Linked DNA regions of Schizosaccharomyces pombe. The protein of the gene in region 1 binds, or shares a complex with, the protein of each later gene. Each region holds a gene or a part of one and is shown in the gene's direction. Other genes may lie near its edges. The genes, in order: mrpl39, mrpl16, mrpl51 and mrpl32.

The links.
Region 2: mrpl39 (region 1) and mrpl16 share a complex: the UniProt entries of both Schizosaccharomyces pombe proteins name them as parts of the mitochondrial large ribosomal subunit.
Region 3: mrpl39 (region 1) and mrpl51 share a complex: the UniProt entries of both Schizosaccharomyces pombe proteins name them as parts of the mitochondrial large ribosomal subunit.
Region 4: mrpl39 (region 1) and mrpl32 share a complex: the UniProt entries of both Schizosaccharomyces pombe proteins name them as parts of the mitochondrial large ribosomal subunit.

What each region holds. Positions count from the first base shown.
Region 1 is NC_003423.3:2,699,830-2,703,961, reverse strand, and holds mrpl39 (mitochondrial ribosomal protein subunit bL33m), read left to right. Parts: upstream 1-2,210; 5' UTR 2,211-2,712; coding exon 2,713-2,735; exon of another isoform or gene 2,736-2,786; coding exon 2,787-2,888; exon of another isoform or gene 2,889-2,919; intron 2,920-2,946; coding exon 2,947-2,989; 3' UTR 2,990-3,227; downstream 3,228-4,132. Other genes in the region: ATP-dependent RNA helicase Mak5, read left to right, coding at 3,603-3,758, 3,795-4,132. UniProt on the Schizosaccharomyces pombe protein: Component of the mitochondrial ribosome (mitoribosome), a dedicated translation machinery responsible for the synthesis of mitochondrial genome-encoded proteins, including at least some of the essential transmembrane subunits of the mitochondrial respiratory chain.
Region 2 is NC_003423.3:3,506,500-3,511,410, reverse strand, and holds mrpl16 (mitochondrial 54S ribosomal protein uL16m), read left to right. Parts: upstream 1-2,277; 5' UTR 2,278-2,477; coding exon 2,478-3,125; 3' UTR 3,126-3,888; downstream 3,889-4,911. Other genes in the region: ARS-binding protein Cbp1, read left to right, coding at 1-640; protein tam12, read left to right, coding at 1,508-1,708; lys4 (homocitrate synthase), read left to right, coding at 4,104-4,911. UniProt on the Schizosaccharomyces pombe protein: Component of the mitochondrial ribosome (mitoribosome), a dedicated translation machinery responsible for the synthesis of mitochondrial genome-encoded proteins, including at least some of the essential transmembrane subunits of the mitochondrial respiratory chain.
Region 3 is NC_003423.3:1,697,803-1,702,071, forward strand, and holds mrpl51 (mitochondrial 54S ribosomal protein mL43), read left to right. Parts: upstream 1-2,130; 5' UTR 2,131-2,279; coding exon 2,280-2,345; exon of another isoform or gene 2,346-2,436; coding exon 2,437-2,599; exon of another isoform or gene 2,600-2,695; coding exon 2,696-2,904; 3' UTR 2,905-3,070; downstream 3,071-4,269. Other genes in the region: protein Mdm34, read right to left, coding at 1-1,291; cytosolic thiouridylase subunit Ctu2, read right to left, coding at 3,071-4,171. UniProt on the Schizosaccharomyces pombe protein: Component of the mitochondrial ribosome (mitoribosome), a dedicated translation machinery responsible for the synthesis of mitochondrial genome-encoded proteins, including at least some of the essential transmembrane subunits of the mitochondrial respiratory chain.
Region 4 is NC_003423.3:3,905,740-3,909,951, forward strand, and holds mrpl32 (mitochondrial 54S ribosomal protein bL32m), read left to right. Parts: upstream 1-2,112; 5' UTR 2,113-2,398; coding exon 2,399-2,710; 3' UTR 2,711-2,992; downstream 2,993-4,212. Other genes in the region: PAK-like kinase Shk1, read left to right, coding at 1-1,319; SPOM_SPBC1604.12 (uncharacterized protein), read right to left, coding at 3,154-4,212. UniProt on the Schizosaccharomyces pombe protein: Component of the mitochondrial ribosome (mitoribosome), a dedicated translation machinery responsible for the synthesis of mitochondrial genome-encoded proteins, including at least some of the essential transmembrane subunits of the mitochondrial respiratory chain.

The sequences.
Region 1 (4,132 bases):
AGGGTTATAGGATAAAACTGACAGTGTGTAACAAAAACAGAAATGTCACCAGGTTTTACTATAGCTACTTAGTAAGCCCAAGCCAAAGAAGCACGGGTACTGACCCGATACTTTCATCTCTTGATCGAGTGTATAAGGGAACACTTGGGGAGCAAAGACCCATTTTGGAACTTGTTGATTTCCTGATGATTCCTAATTTTTCTAATAATATGTTTCTTTATTAAACAGATCAACTATCGTACACACCCTGACGCTTGTCCTTGGATTACGGGAATACTCAGCTCAAAAAATAACAAAATAATGCGACGGAAGGAGAGCACAGTGTGAGATCTGATAGCACAAACTGGTAAAAGTCGGTTTATCAATTTGACCTGTACTACCCATCGCATGATCTTAAATTACGCCTTTTCATGCACAAAAATGGAAAATCTTTCAAGAAAGGAAAATTTACTCTAACAGACGATATTGTCTCACTATCCCATGTTTGTATTATGTGCAGACTAATTAACTTAACGTTCTTTTTAAACTACGTTATACTTGCTTATAGGAGACAACGTGCTTAACTGAAATGTTAACAGTTGCATACTTAGACTTATCTTGGATAGTGAGTTTGGCCCCTTTACCCTATATGCCAAAAGATGACCCAGGGGGTTAATATTAAGGCCTAAAAGGTAGGAGGAAGCAAGAAATGGTAAAATGGCACGTGCCAAGCCAAACAAGAAGAGATGATAGACACGCAGCTAAAGAACATAGCAAGCTTAAAGAACAAATAACAAAGCATTTTGGTTGGGAAATTGATCAGTTGAAGAAAGTTATTAAAGTTAATGATTATTATAGATTTACTAGTAAATACATAAAAACCAAGGAAAAGATAAGAAAATAAAATAAAATATAAATAATAATTAACGATAATTATATGTATATATAAGAGGATAATAATTTTATATATACACAGCAAATCCATCCTATATTTAACATAGTATTCCTCTATTAAGTGCGAATATTCTTTTACTTAATTCAGCCTTTGCTTATTTAATGCGAGTTGTCTCAGCCCTTAGTACAATGTCAAATCCTCTTTAAAAGATAGTTATTAAACCTTTTGTTATTCTAATGACAACTGTAACATATCCTTGACTTGTTTACTATCCCTGCTGTAATTTCCAACTCAATTTTTATTCTACATATATAAAGCATCAGTTAAAGATATTTTCGTTGCTTCTCTCCATCATTTTCACAACCAGGAAAAATGTTTATTTTAAAATTTCCCATACTATTGACCATGTAGAACCGTAATAACAATCGTAAACATTGCACTTAATGAGCTTTAAATACTCTCTCAATTCTTTCATTCAGTCTCCATATCCGAGGGATGTAGCCTTCTCCAGTCTATTCTATATCCGTCTTTGGGTGCGGCTATACTTGCGTTGTATAGATTTTCTCCGTATGCATCGTGATATGTCTCAATTTCGCGGATGAGATACGGACTTGGGATTTCGGGCAGATCGTCATACAATGTCACTAGCTTCCGCAATTCATGCGATTTGTTCATTTGCATTCTTTATTTGGCTAACCCTTGTAAAATTGGGAAAACACATTTTATATTCTCTTTGGACCCATAAACACTTAAAGTGACTTGTAACTCATCCATCCTAGTCTTGGTACAGCAAATGAATTAGGTTTGCTTACAACTTGAGGATCGTCTTATACTTTCAGTATTGCCAATAATTTACAGTTACAATGATACTTAAAGCTTGCGTTTGTTTAGAGCCGAATATATATATATATATACACGAAAGGCTTTTTAGAACCACCTCGTCATAAATGTTTCTTTACTAGGCTCGCTAATTTCCATCTGTGTTTTTTTTTCACGCTAGCAAACTATGCTATTGCAATTAGTTCATTCTTAACGTCCTAATTCATCTAGTACATGTCATTTTAACTAAAAGAATTTTTCCTGAAAGAAAATTGGTTCTTTCATTTGAATATCATTCTTTCCAAAAAAAATGTAGAAATACAAATAAGATTATAAATTGGCAAAGACGCGATTGGACTTTAATTAAATACCCATCTACAGCCAATAATTAAAAAACAATAATAATTGTAATAAAAAAAAAGAATTTTTCAAGAGTTGTTCATCACTTCATATTTTTTCTTCGAATGTTAATAGAACAGCAACTTCTATTTATAAGATTACTTATAGTTTGTTAATTATTCCTCTCTGTTAAATTGGCAGACATCAGGAGAAGAGACGCAGCAGACTCAATTTGTTATACTTTCCTTATTAACATTTTTTTATTTTTTATTTTATTTTATTTTTATTCAAAAATTCTTTCTAATTTTTTTATTCTTACTGTTCGTCTTTCGTTCTTAAGTGCCGTCATGCATGTTTCTCAATTAGAATTTCAAATCTAAATGCTTTTTTTCAAAACAAGTAATTCATTGATGAGCCTTTTATCTTTACTAATAGTTCTATAGTCTACCTAAAACAAAAAAATAACCTATTGAAAAGCCTCGATTGTACACAACCAAATTTAATAAAAATTGGATTGCAAAAAGGCTTTCTCATTACTCAAAACAATATCTTTGAATTGCAAACTTTCAATTTTACATTTCTGACTGCAAGTTATCCATCAAGTTAAAAGAGCTCGCCCACAAACCCTGGTGTAACTACAAAACCTTTAACTTACCGCTTGCACTGTACGTATATCCAGAATGGCTAAAAAGAATAAAGCTCGGTAAGACATACATGCTTAATTTAATGCGCATTTTTAACATTTATTTTTCAGTTTGCTTGTAAAATTATTGTCCACCGCTGGCACTGGATTTTTCTACGTTCGTTCACGTCCAAAAGCTGCTCCTAAGCTTGCTTTTATAAAATATGATCCCAAGTAAGTTATTATGGATTTTCTAAAGCCTCATTTAAGAAGCTAATGAATGAACCCATAGAATTCACAAAAGAGTACTTTTCGAAGAATCCAAAATGAAATAAAAACTTCTTCCATTTCAATGATAGTCTGAAAATGAAATGCTAAATTATGACCGATCAATCTACCTTTTTTCTTCAAAAACTTTATGGATGTGCATTAATTATGTATTAGCTTCCCAACCTACATCTTATACGACATAATTCTAAACAGCTGCGTGAACATAAAGACCCTTATATTATTCTGTCATATCTATAATTCCTATTTTTATTATTATTATTTAAGAGAAGGACTGAGATGTCAAATTTTCAAAGTAATAAGAATGTTCCTTTCACCTGTACCAATTGCTAGCCGAATTAGAACTATAGTAGTAACATCGTTTGTGTTTACTACTCTTGTAAGCACTGTAGCTCAGATCATTCGATTCTAAAATTCTCAAGCAATATTTTTAATACAAAATGGTTGTACTATTTAGAAATTATGCAAAACATGGCAAAGCATTGAATTGCTAAAACCAATCGTCGTTTAATGTCTTCGTAACATTTAATTATTTGTTTTCTATTAGCTTATACGATGCAATTATTTTTATTCCCTCGTTCCAATTCTTAGTGTAAATTTTTGTCTACCTACATTTTCTATGTGGAGCAAACTACTACACTTTTCAACGCTTTGATCACGATGCCAAAGAAAGCTGCATTGGACGAGCTTAAATGGAAGGAAGTCAAGCTTCCTGACCACCTAGACGACTTCGATGGGTTTATGGGCTTGGAAGAGATTGAAGGTGTGGATATCAAATATCAGCCAAAAGGTGCTATGAAAGAAGTAATTTATGAGGTATAATTGTTTATTATCTAATTTATTAACAAACAGTTACCAGAAGTTCATGAAAAAAAAGATAAAAAGCCGGAAAAGCGAAAAAAAGATCAAAAAGAAGCTAGTGAAAAAAAGAAAAAGGGAAAACGTACTTCCCCTACTATTGAAATGACTTCACTAGGATCAAAGGTGACTTCTAAAAACTATAATGAATTCTCTACATTAGAAGAAGAGGATGAACACAATTCTCATGGTGTGGACGTCTCTGCTTGGGCACACTTTTCACTTTCACCGGAAATGCTTGGCTCGTTATCTAAAGCTGGCTTTTCAAAACCGATGCCAATTCAATCATTGGTAATTCCTGAAGCTTCTATTGGATTTGATATCATTGGAAA
Region 2 (4,911 bases), 810 kb from region 1:
TGTAATTACTTTACCATCTACTTCAGCCTCTATTTCCCAGCCTTGTAGTGAGGGTGTGATCTATGCTCTAAAAGCATGCTATCGCAAACACTGGGTTCAATATATATTGGAACAAAATGAGTTGGGACGCAATCCCTATAATACTACTAATGTTTTAAGAGCTATTTTATGGTTGGTGAAAGCATGGACGACAGACATATCACCAGAAATTATTGAAAATGCCTTCAATCTTTCCGGTGTTCTTGGTCTATTCAATGAATCTGCCGTTACCTCGCGTGCCTTGGATGAAATGATTCATCCACTTCGTGAGCTCGTCTCAGAGTTTTCTGTTCAAGCTGCTATGCGTATAGAGGATTTTATAAGTCCTTCAGAAGAGAATATTGTTGATTCCTCTGAGGATATAATCAATCAAATTGCTTCGCAGTACATGGATGATCGCGCTTTCGAGACGGACGAAGAAGAATCTACTGAATTCCAGATTACCACTAAAGACGCTATGAAGGCGATCGAGCTTTTGCTAAACTATGAAGCTCAACAACCCGATGGAAATCCTGCAATCACGATTAGTCTATTAAATTATCAGAAGCTCCTTGAGGCAAGGGGTGGTAACGTGAATCTTTCTCGTTTGAGAAGCACCTAATGTCTGTATTCGTTGTGCATATTTGACTTTTTTGTTTTTGGTTTGTATTTTAGTAGTTTTAATTTTCTTTTTGTTGAGTTTGGATCCCTTACCTAATGAGTAATTTGCTTTTATTCCTTCATTTTAACTTGTTGCTCTATTTTTAATACCCGATTGCAACTGATGAGCTTATTTGATTTTTCTTTGTTTTTATTTTAATTTTTTTAAAAAAACCTTTTCGAAGTTTCTTAAACGCAAAATCGCTATACGAGCTAATGAAATTGAATATTATACATTTTGTAATTCATGTCTCGCAATCAAGTGCTTTTAATATTGATACTATTTATCTTTAAAAATAAAAACCGGCTAAATGTAAGAAATTTTTTTTTTTTATTGAGGCATATTTGTTTTTTTAAGGTCGAGATTAGATTGTAAATAGTTGAACCGTAGGGGTTAGAGCTTCAAAAAATGATAAATTATTACTGTGAAACCCGAATTTAATCCATTTACGCATGATTGATTTTATAAAAATGTACTTCTCTTTTGCTAACTGCTTCGTACTGTAAATAAGCTTACTTTACAGTTAAGCATTACAAAGGTATATGATGTAATGATATAAGAAATAATCAATAACGAACTTTGATGTTATACGTAACATGAAATAACGATTTCTCTTCGAGACCTAGACTAACATGGCGATGTTCATAACTATGGCGAGTAAGCACATTTCTATTTCTACAAATAACTCAAATCCTTTGCTTGAACAATCAAGCGTGTTATAGCTTATTGGAATTTTTTAAGACTTTTTACAGCAAGAATCAGTAAAATCAGAGAAATTCGAATTGGCAAGTCTTCAAGGTTGTGTCCATTCGGAATATTTATTAAAGTATGTCAACAACTAGTTCTTCGTCGACGTTTTCTACGAGAACAGCGTCTTTATCCCAATCATATACAAATTCATTAAAGAAGGAAGCTGCTCAAAAGACGTTAGAAAACTGGGAATATCAGGCTATTCACGCTTTGCAGAACAATTCTTCTTTTCCCGCGATACGTAGATCAATGCGCAAGATTTTAGCAGATCCTTCATAATTTCCTAATCCCATTTTTTGTTTTTTTTATAATCATGATGTGAGCAAGTTCTTGCTACAGGGGACAAAAGAGTTGCGCTTGGCATTCTTACGTTCGATTGTCCATACAATAATGTTTAGCTCGATAGAGGATCCTTCTAATGGTTTATAAACGTACATCAGAAGATTTTTTTAAGACAGTCTTAACATTCCAAATACCAATACTGAGGCACTAAACAGTTGAACGTTTTGTTATTCTTCAAGGACAAGAATTCCTTGACAAGAAATGAGCTAAGTATATTATTTGAAATAGCTAAAATAGTCACTGTTTTATTTCTATTCACGCATTGTTGTCATTGAAATGATGATGCTGAATCAAATAATGTGTTGAGCATAAAACGCACGTTAAATTCAGTATCTATGAAAATAATCTTTTTTGCCTAATGCTTAAGATAATTTTTTTTTTTTTTTTTACAAACTAATAAACAAACAAATAAATAATTATAGCTAATGTTCAGTTATTGTCCGGCTTCTTCCCGGAACTTAGTTAGGATAAGTGGCAGCAACACATACAGAATCCAAGTATCCTTTAACCCCCTTCTCATACAAAAAATAGCAGGCCTATTATCGTTACTATTGTTACCATTTTCCCATAAAAAAAGAAATATAATACTTAAATTTGATTATTTTGAATATTTCTGAGTAACTTTAAAGAACGACTTTTGCATGATAATAAAAACACGTTGTTTTATGACTTTTTGAAACCCTCACAACATAAAAACTTATATAATATGGCTTTACAACAATACAATAAATTTCCTTTCTTTTTTTCTGGTATTTTAGGACCTACGAGGTTGAATGGTTTACAAATGCCGCCTATCCAAACGATGGTTCGTTGGGGACACCAGTATGCACCCAGAAGCATCAGAAACCAAAAAGCTCAGAAAGGAAGAGTCCCTATACCCATAGGAGGTTCACTACGTGGTACTCAACTTGAATGGGGAGAATATGGTATGCGATTAAAAGATCGAAGTATAAGATTTCATGCCAAGCAACTCGAAACTGCCGAACAGATTCTCAAGCGTATATTAAAACCTATCAAGGCTGCTCGGGTATACACACGTTTTTGTTGCAATGTGCCAGTATGCGTAAAAGGAAATGAAACTCGTATGGGCAAAGGCAAAGGAGCTTTTGAATACTGGGCTGCACGGATACCAATCGGTCGTGTACTTTTTGAAATTGGTGGTGATGGAATGCGTAAAGAGTTAGCTGAGCATGCATTGAAGCAAGCCGCTTTTCACCTTCCAGGCAAGTATGAGATTATCGTCAAGCAAACCCCCAAAAGATTGGGTACCACACTGATTCATGAAACCCCCATTACCACCGAGACAAGCAAAATGAACTATCAGGAAATTACCAGTACTACTACAGCTGTTTAAGGGAAAAGTTAAGCTGAATTTATCTATTTTTAACCCATTCAATAATTACTTTTCTGTCATACTTCTCACTTACTTAGTTTGTGAACTTAATGCTGCATCTTTGTACAGACATTCATGAGCTTCTTTTCAATCGTTGTAGTTATTCTATGTTTTAGTGAATGAAATTTGCCAGAAATGCCTTAAAACATTGTACATTTTGCGCTATGTTTCATTATCTATTTTCGAAATGGGAACTTTCATCCCCAATGAGAGAGTTGCTTAATTTTTGTTGGCGAAATATGAACCACTTTTGATTCACTTTGATTACGGCTCGGCAATTTCGTTAAAACATCAAATTTCTTTGGTCCTGAAAAGTTGGTAACGGTAATGAGTGTTTTTGGCGAAAATCTTATTTGCTGCTCTCTGCTCCGTTGGGGACTTTTTTTCGGGATGTAAAAAACGGCACGTTGTATATGTGCGAAATCATGAAGTGAATCAAAAAGTACACTTTAAATAATATGAAACTGATTTTACTATGGAATTACGAATGAAATTATTCAAATCAACTCCACTAAAATATTTACAACGTTTACAAAAAAAATCACTATACCTTCTAGAACCTAGCTTAGCAATCCACTGTTGAGTGGATCAGTAACTTAATCATTACTACCATAGATCTGATTAAATCTCATCAAGATCGATCGGGATCTGTAAATCAATTTTCTACCATAAATTACCGCGGTTGCCTACGAGTTGGTAGTGACTGTTTCTTTCAGTAAATAAATAGGGTAGGGTCGAATTTTTTGAAATTCATACATACGTGCATCCTTGCTCTTAGTTGTCTCCTCTACAGTGATAAAAGATTTAGCTTAAAAAATTCAAAGCTAACAGGTTTCGGGACAATAAGTTGTTGAATTGTATAATTTATATATTTATACTTAATTCATTTTAGAAAATTCGCTTTTCCTTTTCCTTTTTTTGCATTTTAAAGTCATCAACATGTCTGTGTCCGAAGCTAATGGTACTGAGACCATCAAGCCTCCTATGAATGGAAACCCTTATGGTCCCAACCCATCTGATTTTCTTTCACGTGTCAATAACTTTTCCATTATTGAGTCTACTCTTCGTGAAGGTGAGCAATTCGCAAACGCTTTTTTCGACACCGAGAAGAAAATTCAAATTGCTAAGGCATTGGACAACTTTGGTGTCGATTACATTGAATTGACTTCTCCCGTGGCTTCTGAGCAGTCCCGCCAAGATTGCGAAGCTATTTGCAAATTGGGCTTAAAGTGTAAAATTTTAACTCATATTCGCTGTCATATGGATGACGCTCGTGTCGCTGTTGAGACTGGAGTTGATGGTGTTGATGTTGTTATCGGAACTTCTCAATATCTTCGCAAATATTCCCATGGAAAGGACATGACTTACATTATTGACAGCGCTACCGAAGTTATCAACTTTGTCAAGAGCAAGGGTATTGAAGTCCGCTTTTCATCTGAGGATTCTTTCCGTTCTGATCTTGTCGATCTCCTTTCTCTCTACAAGGCTGTAGACAAGATTGGCGTCAACCGTGTTGGTATTGCTGACACCGTTGGTTGCGCTACTCCTCGCCAAGTCTACGATCTTATTCGTACCTTACGTGGTGTTGTCTCTTGTGATATTGAATGTCATTTTCACAATGACACTGGTATGGCTATTGCTAATGCCTATTGCGCATTGGAAGCTGGTGCTACCCATATCGATACTTCCATTCTTGGTATTGGTGAGCGTAATGGTATTACTCCTCTTGGTGCCTTGTTGGCTCGTA
Region 3 (4,269 bases), 1.0 Mb from region 1:
CAGATACTTTTCCGTTATCAACCTCGGACGGAATCTTTTGCTGCAGGTTTTCCAACCAGTTGTTAGTGATGGTATAATTCCTTTTAAGTTTATTAATGTTGGTAATAATCTTTGTAGGAGTATCAGGTATGGAATCAAACGCAGATTCAGTAAGGTCAACGTTTTTAGAACCAACAAAAGTTTCGGAAGAGGAAGCAGACTTGTTTGATGCTTCATGAATTTTAATTACATGTCTTTTCTTGACACGTTCTCGGCGGCGGAATTGTGAGGTACCATGACTACGACCAAAAATGGATGGCCTAGCCGTGGTGTCATTTGAACCAAGATAGTCTGATGCGGAATATTGGGTTGCAGGGGAAGATACAGCAGAAATATCATCAGATTGAGTAGTCAATTGCTGTATAATCGTATCGGGAGGAGTTGACCGGTATATGGACATAGGTATTGAAGGAGAAGAAATAGGAAGTAGTGCTTTTCTGGATAAGGCTAAAGAAGCAATAGATCGAATGTTAGGATGCGTTTGGACATCCAATGGGCCCATTTTAATTGGGAGATGAGTGTCGACTTTCGTAGATTCATGATAGTCGGGAGGACCATCTAGCAAATCTGGGTTATAATTAGCCAGAGAAGTATGAGATTGGTTAGGAGAAGTGAAAGGAATTTTTTGAAAAGATAGATTAGAGTCGGACTTGGCAAACCAAATTCTTGACATTTTGTATATGATGGAAGGAAGTTCTTCCTGAAACAGGGAGACCAGTTGCACCTCGATTTCTCTTTGTAAAAAGCGAGCAATAGCAGGAATAGAATCAAAGGAGGAAGATACACGCACGGATTCTAAAGGATCGTTTCGAAATACCACAGTGATACCTTTCTGCTTTGAAAACACCAAAACAACTATTCCGTTAAGCTTTAAGTCGGAAAGTCGTAAAAACATAGGCACAGTAAGCGGTGCACGAGATGCTAACATTGTATTACGAGAACTAAAACTGGGAACATTACTTTTTTGCACCGATAATGGATTGGCACGAATTTTTGTTTGCAAGACCAAAGAAGCATCACCCGAATAATGGAGATTAAAGAGGCCCTGAAAGCGGTCTGGCGCTAAGTCGCCAACCTCTAAAATTTCCAGTTGAGGAGGTTGGGGACCCAAATCCAACTCTTTTACAGTGATGTGGTCTGCAATCATCGAGTGTTTAGTGCCTTTGTTTAAAGCAGCCGTAAGCAAAGTGGTTGCTCGCTCATAGAATGACTCAGAGAACTGATCACTCCATCCCTTTACACGAAACGACATTCTGTTGATTTTCCTAAGTTATCTACATCAACTATGAAAAATGTCAAATTTTTTTGTAAGGAACCGTCTAGTATAGACTAAGTAACTAACGCTTTAGATCAATTTCTTTACAAAATTTTTATTAAATTCGGATAGGGAAACGACAACTTCCATACAGTGGCGGACAGTAAATAAACATCGATAGGCTGGCTGATGCACTAGTGCGGCATACTGAACCTTGATATAGCCAAGATAAGGATAGGGTCGATCGTACTGTATATGAACGAAGGTGTATTAGAATGCATTAAATAAATTATTACAAAATGCACAGTAGTTTCTTATGCTATACTGGTGAAATATATTTTCTTGCTATTCTGTTCATTTAGGAGGGATAAATAAAGCTTCATGAAATGAAATTCCTTAGATATTCAAATCAGAAATTCAGCCATTATTTTAGAAATGATATTAGTGGTGTTGCTTACTGTATTAATTTGCTATGTTGACAAATATCTAGGCTGAAGAACTTCGAGTACAAGAACCGATACAACTTTGCTCTTTCAGAAAAGGATATCTCTGCATAAATGAATGATATTAAATCAAAATTGTTCGTTTTAAAAAACCTATATTATGTTTGTTCGCAGTCCATGTACTACGTTAAAAAATCACTGTAAACTTTCTAGATATCATTATTTAGAGAAGAGCAGAAAGGTAAAGTATTGCAAAGTGTGTAACCAGAAACTGTAGGTAGACAGTAAACTTGATTTTGTTGCTAAAATTTTTTATAAAACTAATTGCATACTAAGTTTAACATTCTAAATCAATTGGAACAAGTATTGAAGTTTAGAGCAATTTGGGATTTGCGAATTTCCACACACCCCTTTACGTCTCCATACCGACTTTTCATTATTTCTGCAAGGATTTGCTCACCCAACTTTTTTCAATATAGCATATTAAGAATTCTGGTTTTTAAAAGACGGTATCCCCTTTTTTACGGCCTTTTACTCACTTAATGATGATTGAAATCATTCCTAAAATTTCAATTCCCAAAAATGGACTAGGTTCATTTACCCGCCCAGTAAGATTTAATCAGCTTTCTTTTTTTTTAAAAAAAAAAAAAAAAAAAAGATTGGCCTTCATTAACTTCGTATTACTAATTTTCTTTTTAGTGCCGTCGAATTGAGTTTTCGTATTGTAATTGGGGTGGAAGCTCAAAAGGCATGAAAGAATTTTTATCCACAAAGCTTGAGTCTTTGGCCAAAGAATCTCAAGATGTGGAATTTCATGTTACAAACCGCCAAGGCAAGCATCCATTAATCCGAGCTTATTACAGTACGTCCAAGACTTTTCTCTTATTATGGTGATCCTCTTAGTTTTATAAATATGAACTCCTTAAAATAGTGTTTTTTACTAATGCTACGATAATAGATACTGGTCGAGAGAAGGTCATTTGTACAAGGAAAATGTCAGCGTCTTCAATATTTCAAAAAGCAATTCTATGCAGAGATAGTGATGGTTTGAAACCTCGCCTCATAAAATATCCTGTTGAGTCAACAAACCCATCCGTTCGTGGTATTTGGAGTCCATTTTCCGATCAAGCAAAGCCCCATGAAATTTATAAGAAAAAGTCCCCTTAGATTCCTCTACAAACTACTTATTATTTCATACAAAAAAAAGAAAATTCAATTTAATCATTTTCGTTATGTTATTATGTCTAACCTTTTTGTCCGAAATACAAAACCCTATCCAAATTTATCTTCCCATAAATACTCTAGTTAACCAGGTAGTAAGTGTACAGATGTATCAAATCCCTTCTTTTTCAATATCAGGAATATGCAACGTCCCTTTTAAGCTTTTTAAAGAAACAGAACAGCCATAGCAAACATTTTGATTCTTAATACCTTCAACGGAATCCGGATGTTCAACCGTAGTTTTTTGTAACCAAGTCTCAGCATCTTCTTGCATTGGTAGATTACAGATGGTACATATGGCTTCTGTAGAAGGCACATGCAATTTTGAGCTCATTTTGACAACGGTGCTAACCAGACTTGGGAATGTATCATTCAGCGATGAGAAATATGATTCTGTAACGCCATGAATAGTATTAGGACGTGCTTCAATTAAGCTATCGCAGAAAGCTAATCCCTTAATGTTCATATACGACTTGAGGTCTGAAGACAAAACTTCACGTAGGGGACGTAGTAGGAAAGTATCGCAATTTGGAAGCTTAGAGCAGACAGAAGTGTACCATGGTATCGCAAAACCTCGACCCTCTGCCACAAGTTCAAGAACTCTTGCAGCAATTGTAGTACCGCTATCACCAAAAACAATGGTATCACAATTTGCCTTCCGGGCATAGGATACTAAAAGCTTATCCCGAATTCGGTAAAGTAAATCTTGACGCGAGGCTAACGAACTAATGACTTCTGGATTAAATTTCTCATTATCTGCGTTTATTTCTATATTTCCTCGTGAGTCTGTAGCAATGGTACGGTTCAATAACTCAGCTTCACCAATAACTTTGAATGGACATTTAGGATAATTTTTGGAAATACTTTCCTCAATCGTTTTTGCAACAGCTGAATCCGTTCCCCACTGAAAATGAACTGCAAGCAATTCATCAAACATAGGCCGGTAATTATCATCTCGATATTTTGATAAATAATTGGCTGTTTCAAGCATTGCCATTGAAGATATACCACCGGAAATAGCCAGCATTGCTCTTTTAGATTTGCGTCCTTGTAAATTGGGTCGTACAAGCTCAAATTGCCGACGAATTTTGTTCTCAATTCTTCTGACAAAGCATGAATCGCAGACCGCATCTGATTTAGTCAGAACTGTTGCCTTATTATCGCATTTGGAACATTTTGAGTCGGCTGAATTGTCTAGAGCCGTGTTCTGCATTTTTTTAGATTTTTCTATTGTTTTTCGAAATGAAGGTCCACAAAGTACTTTCAAAAAAATTATCCGTATAAATAAATAAGTTTAAGAGATACCTATTC
Region 4 (4,212 bases), 1.2 Mb from region 1:
GTGAAAGTACTGAGAAGCCTTTACTCTCCGTTTCAGCGTTGTCTAGTAGTTCTCATCTTCAACCCACCTCTGCTACAAGCTCATCTTCTCGTTTGTATCCTTCTCGACCTGCTCCCACGCCTCCTGCAAGTTCTTCATCGTCTCCTTTATTATCATCACAAACAGTTAAAACTACTACCTCTAATGCTTCTCGACAACCTTCTCCATTAGTTTCCAGCAAGTCAACCGATAATATAATCCGAAGTCATTCCCCTGTTTTGTTAACGCCTCAAACCTTAAGTACATCTGAAACGAAACATATCCGTCCGAATAACTCGACACCATATCAACGGAGAGCCGAGACTAGCACCAAACCGAAAGCTGTTGCGACTCCTCAAAAAGTGGAAGCACCAAGTGCCCCTCGACTTCAAAAGCGTGCACCTCGACAACAATCCAATGATTCTGCTGTATTGGCAAAGTTACAGTCTATATGCAATCCCAAAAATCCAACACTTTTATATCGAAATTTTGTTAAAATTGGTCAAGGTGCTTCTGGTGATGTGTATTCTGCTCGCCAAGTCGGCACTAATCTTTCTGTTGCCATCAAGAAAATGAACATTAATCAACAGCCAAAAAAGGAATTTATTGTCAATGAAATACTCGTGATGAAGTCACATCATCACAAAAACATTGTCAATTTTATTGACACTTTCTTCTATAAATCAGAGTTGTGGATGGTAATGGAATACATGCGCGGTGGCAGTCTTACTGAAGTGGTTACCAATAACACTCTTTCAGAAGGTCAGATAGCTGCAATATGTAAGGAAACGTTGGAAGGCTTACAGCATCTCCATGAAAATGGCATTGTTCACCGTGACATAAAATCAGACAATATCCTTCTCTCACTTCAAGGAGATATTAAACTTACCGATTTTGGGTTTTGTGCTCAGATCGACAGTAACATGACGAAACGAACGACGATGGTTGGTACTCCATATTGGATGGCTCCAGAAGTCGTTACTAGAAAGGAATATGGTTTCAAAGTTGATGTCTGGAGTCTTGGTATTATGGCTATAGAGATGGTAGAGGGAGAGCCCCCGTATTTAAACGAAAATCCTTTACGTGCTCTATATTTAATTGCTACTATTGGTACTCCAAAGATTAGTCGGCCAGAATTGTTAAGTTCTGTTTTCCATGATTTTCTTTCTAAATCTTTAACTGTTAATCCTAAGCAACGCCCTAGCTCCGGTGAGCTTTTAAGGCATCCGTTTCTTAAGCAAGCCGTTCCAGTTTCATCCCTTATCCCTTTGATAAAATCCATACATCATTCTGGTAAATAGGCTAACTTGTCAAAAAAGTTTTTGAGTAAACATCTGCTGTTAGAAGTTTCGGAATATCCTCCAACGTTTGCTTAAAAACTGTTTCTTCTCACATTGTTTATTTATCGTTAATATGCTTTTGCAGTTCGTTAGAATATATGTACCTGAGTTTATTTTTTTGCCTCCTCCACTAAAATCCATATCCGCAGGTTGGGCAGATTCAAACAGAGTACATTTTAACTACTTTTTTGCTTTACTTTAATTCCTTTTTCTAGTGCATACTTTACTTATCTGTTCCTTTTTTTTTGTTTTTTTCTTACTGCCAAGAATGATCTCAGTGACACTTGGATAATTTTTATAATAAATGAGACAATGCTTCTTTCTAAAAGTCTCAACTTTTTAATATTCGCAATGCATTATAAAAAAACTAAAAGGAAGACTAACTTATCAAAGTATTCAAAATGTAAGTACATGATTCTGAGATTGATCTTGAATCAGTCAAAATAGGTTTGAATCTTTTAAAGCGATGTTTCAATTTCAATTATGTGGAATCTCAAAGTGAAACGCCTGCTGGAATATTTCACAAAATTTTTGATCTACTAAAATTAGTACAAATACGTAGAAAACTTCAAATAATTAAATGGACTATGATTGTAGCGTAGTTCATGAGCTTAAGAAAATTGTCAACATTAAACTGCGAGACTTAATAAAGAGAGAGCGCACTTAGCATTTAAATGTCAAGCCAAAGCAATAGTGAATTTGAGGAGTCTCGTTATACATGGGTTATTACTACTCAACAGCAGACTATAGATTTAGGCAGCAGCCTACTTCTTAAGCATTGTCTCGAAACCAAAGTAACTGGTCTTTAAGTTTCCTTTTGACGACTTCCAATTATTTCAAACTCTTTTCTCGGAGATCGTAAATCTATCTGTGATTGGGTCTACTGGTTTTAGAAAACGGCTATATGCATCGTTTTATAACTATATAATTAAGATCAAGTTCTGCAGTAACTAAGTTCGCCTTACCTTGAGAAAACTTTTAAAATATTGTTCAGCATTACTGTACCCAACAATATTCTACTGTTCGCGCTTGGGTCGAAAATGGCTCTTTTAAGAGGAAATTCTTTGGCAATTAGCCAAAAAATGTTATCAGTTTTTCAAGCTAGCGCCCTTCCTCATATTTCTTTGAGGATATTTATTTCCCCCCCTTCAATAGCTAATATATGGAATTCCATTTTGCTTGCTGTTCCAAAGAAAAAAACTTCTTATACTAAGAAACGAAGTCGCTTACTGTCCGGAAAAGCATTAAAAGACAAAACAGTTAATCGTTGTCCTATTTGCGGGTCTTTTAAATTGGCACATCATTTATGTTCTCACTGTTTTAGAAATATTCGTCGAGAATTTAACGAATGAAGGGCATTAAGCATTTCTTCACTGATTTAGTGATGCTGCAAATCTTTATTTTAAGAAAAAAAATGGACTTAACATTAAATATAAGGTTGTTTCATGTAATAGTATTGCAGTTAGTGAATTGAATCTGCTCGCACTACTTAAATTTTTTCAGTATTACGATTAATGAACTACACCCTTTTTAAAAATACGCGTATAACAAAGAATTTTTTTACTTAATTTTATTTGTTGACTATGTACGGTTGAGTATAAATATCATATATTATGCAAAAGAATTTAGAGTGAAAAAATAACAAAAAAGCTGAATATATCTCTTAGCTTTCATCCTTTTTCAATACACGTTTATGTTGTAAGCGTGTAAATAATATTAAATGCATCGAAAACACAAAAGAGACTATAATCTCATGTAAAGTATACATAAACGATAACAATAAGAAAAAACCAAGCTAGTTTTTCGCCCTCCATAAACCGGAATCAATTCGTTCTCGGCGTTGAGGATCATAACGATTAGCGTTCATTGAATTACGAAAAGAGCGACGAGCCACTTGAATTGTCTTGCTACCTGGAAGACAAACAGTTACACGCAGTGGATGAGTAGGATGAATTCGAAGGGGTTGTTTGGAAGATGAGCGGTATATAGGAACCTTCTCCTCTAATGGTTTCATTTCCTCTAATTTTAATGATTTAGTAGGAAGAAACCGCTCCGGGTTCACTTTAGGCAAATGTAAATTCAAAATAACATCGCCCTTCGATCGCTGAATTCGAACAGAATTTGCATGACTAAGTATCAATCTCGATGATTTTAAAGAGCTCGTTTCCGAGGATACTACATAACTACTACTTCTGGTATCACGACCTTTGGAGTGGCTGTAAGAAGAGGATGAAGAAACAGGTTGACCGAGAGCATTAGAATTGCCAATGCGTGAAACTCCTCCATGTTCGTTGGGGACACGATGGGGTAAATGAGCATTTGCGGCCACCCCACTTTGATAGGATCTCTGTTTATATAAGTTATTGTCAAAAATGACATCCTTTATACTTAAAATAACTTCATCAATACTCCGAGACTTTCCATGTTTCGGGGAAGAAGTACTATCATCAGATTGGGGATTCAACTGTAAAGGATCATTTTTATCCGACGTAAATAAAGGCGAGACTTGAACAGGAGGAATTGGATGACTATGACTTCTCCATGAAAGCGGAGTAGAATCATCTCTGGGGCTAGAAGGATCAATTTCTGTTGTCTCTTGGTTACTATGTAGTCCTTCGGGACTATTGGTAATAGACTGAGGCTCTTTAGTGTATATTGCTTCAACTTTTTTGCTAGACTCGACATTGGAAGACCGCTCATTAGTAATAGTGGGTGAGGAATTCATCTTTGATGATGATATCTTTATTTCTTCAGCTTTTTTACGGGCTCGTTCTCGTGATCGAGCAAGTTCTTCTTCTTCATTCCTCCGCCTTTCAATTGCTTTCTGGCGAGCTTCGAGCATAATTTGCTGTTG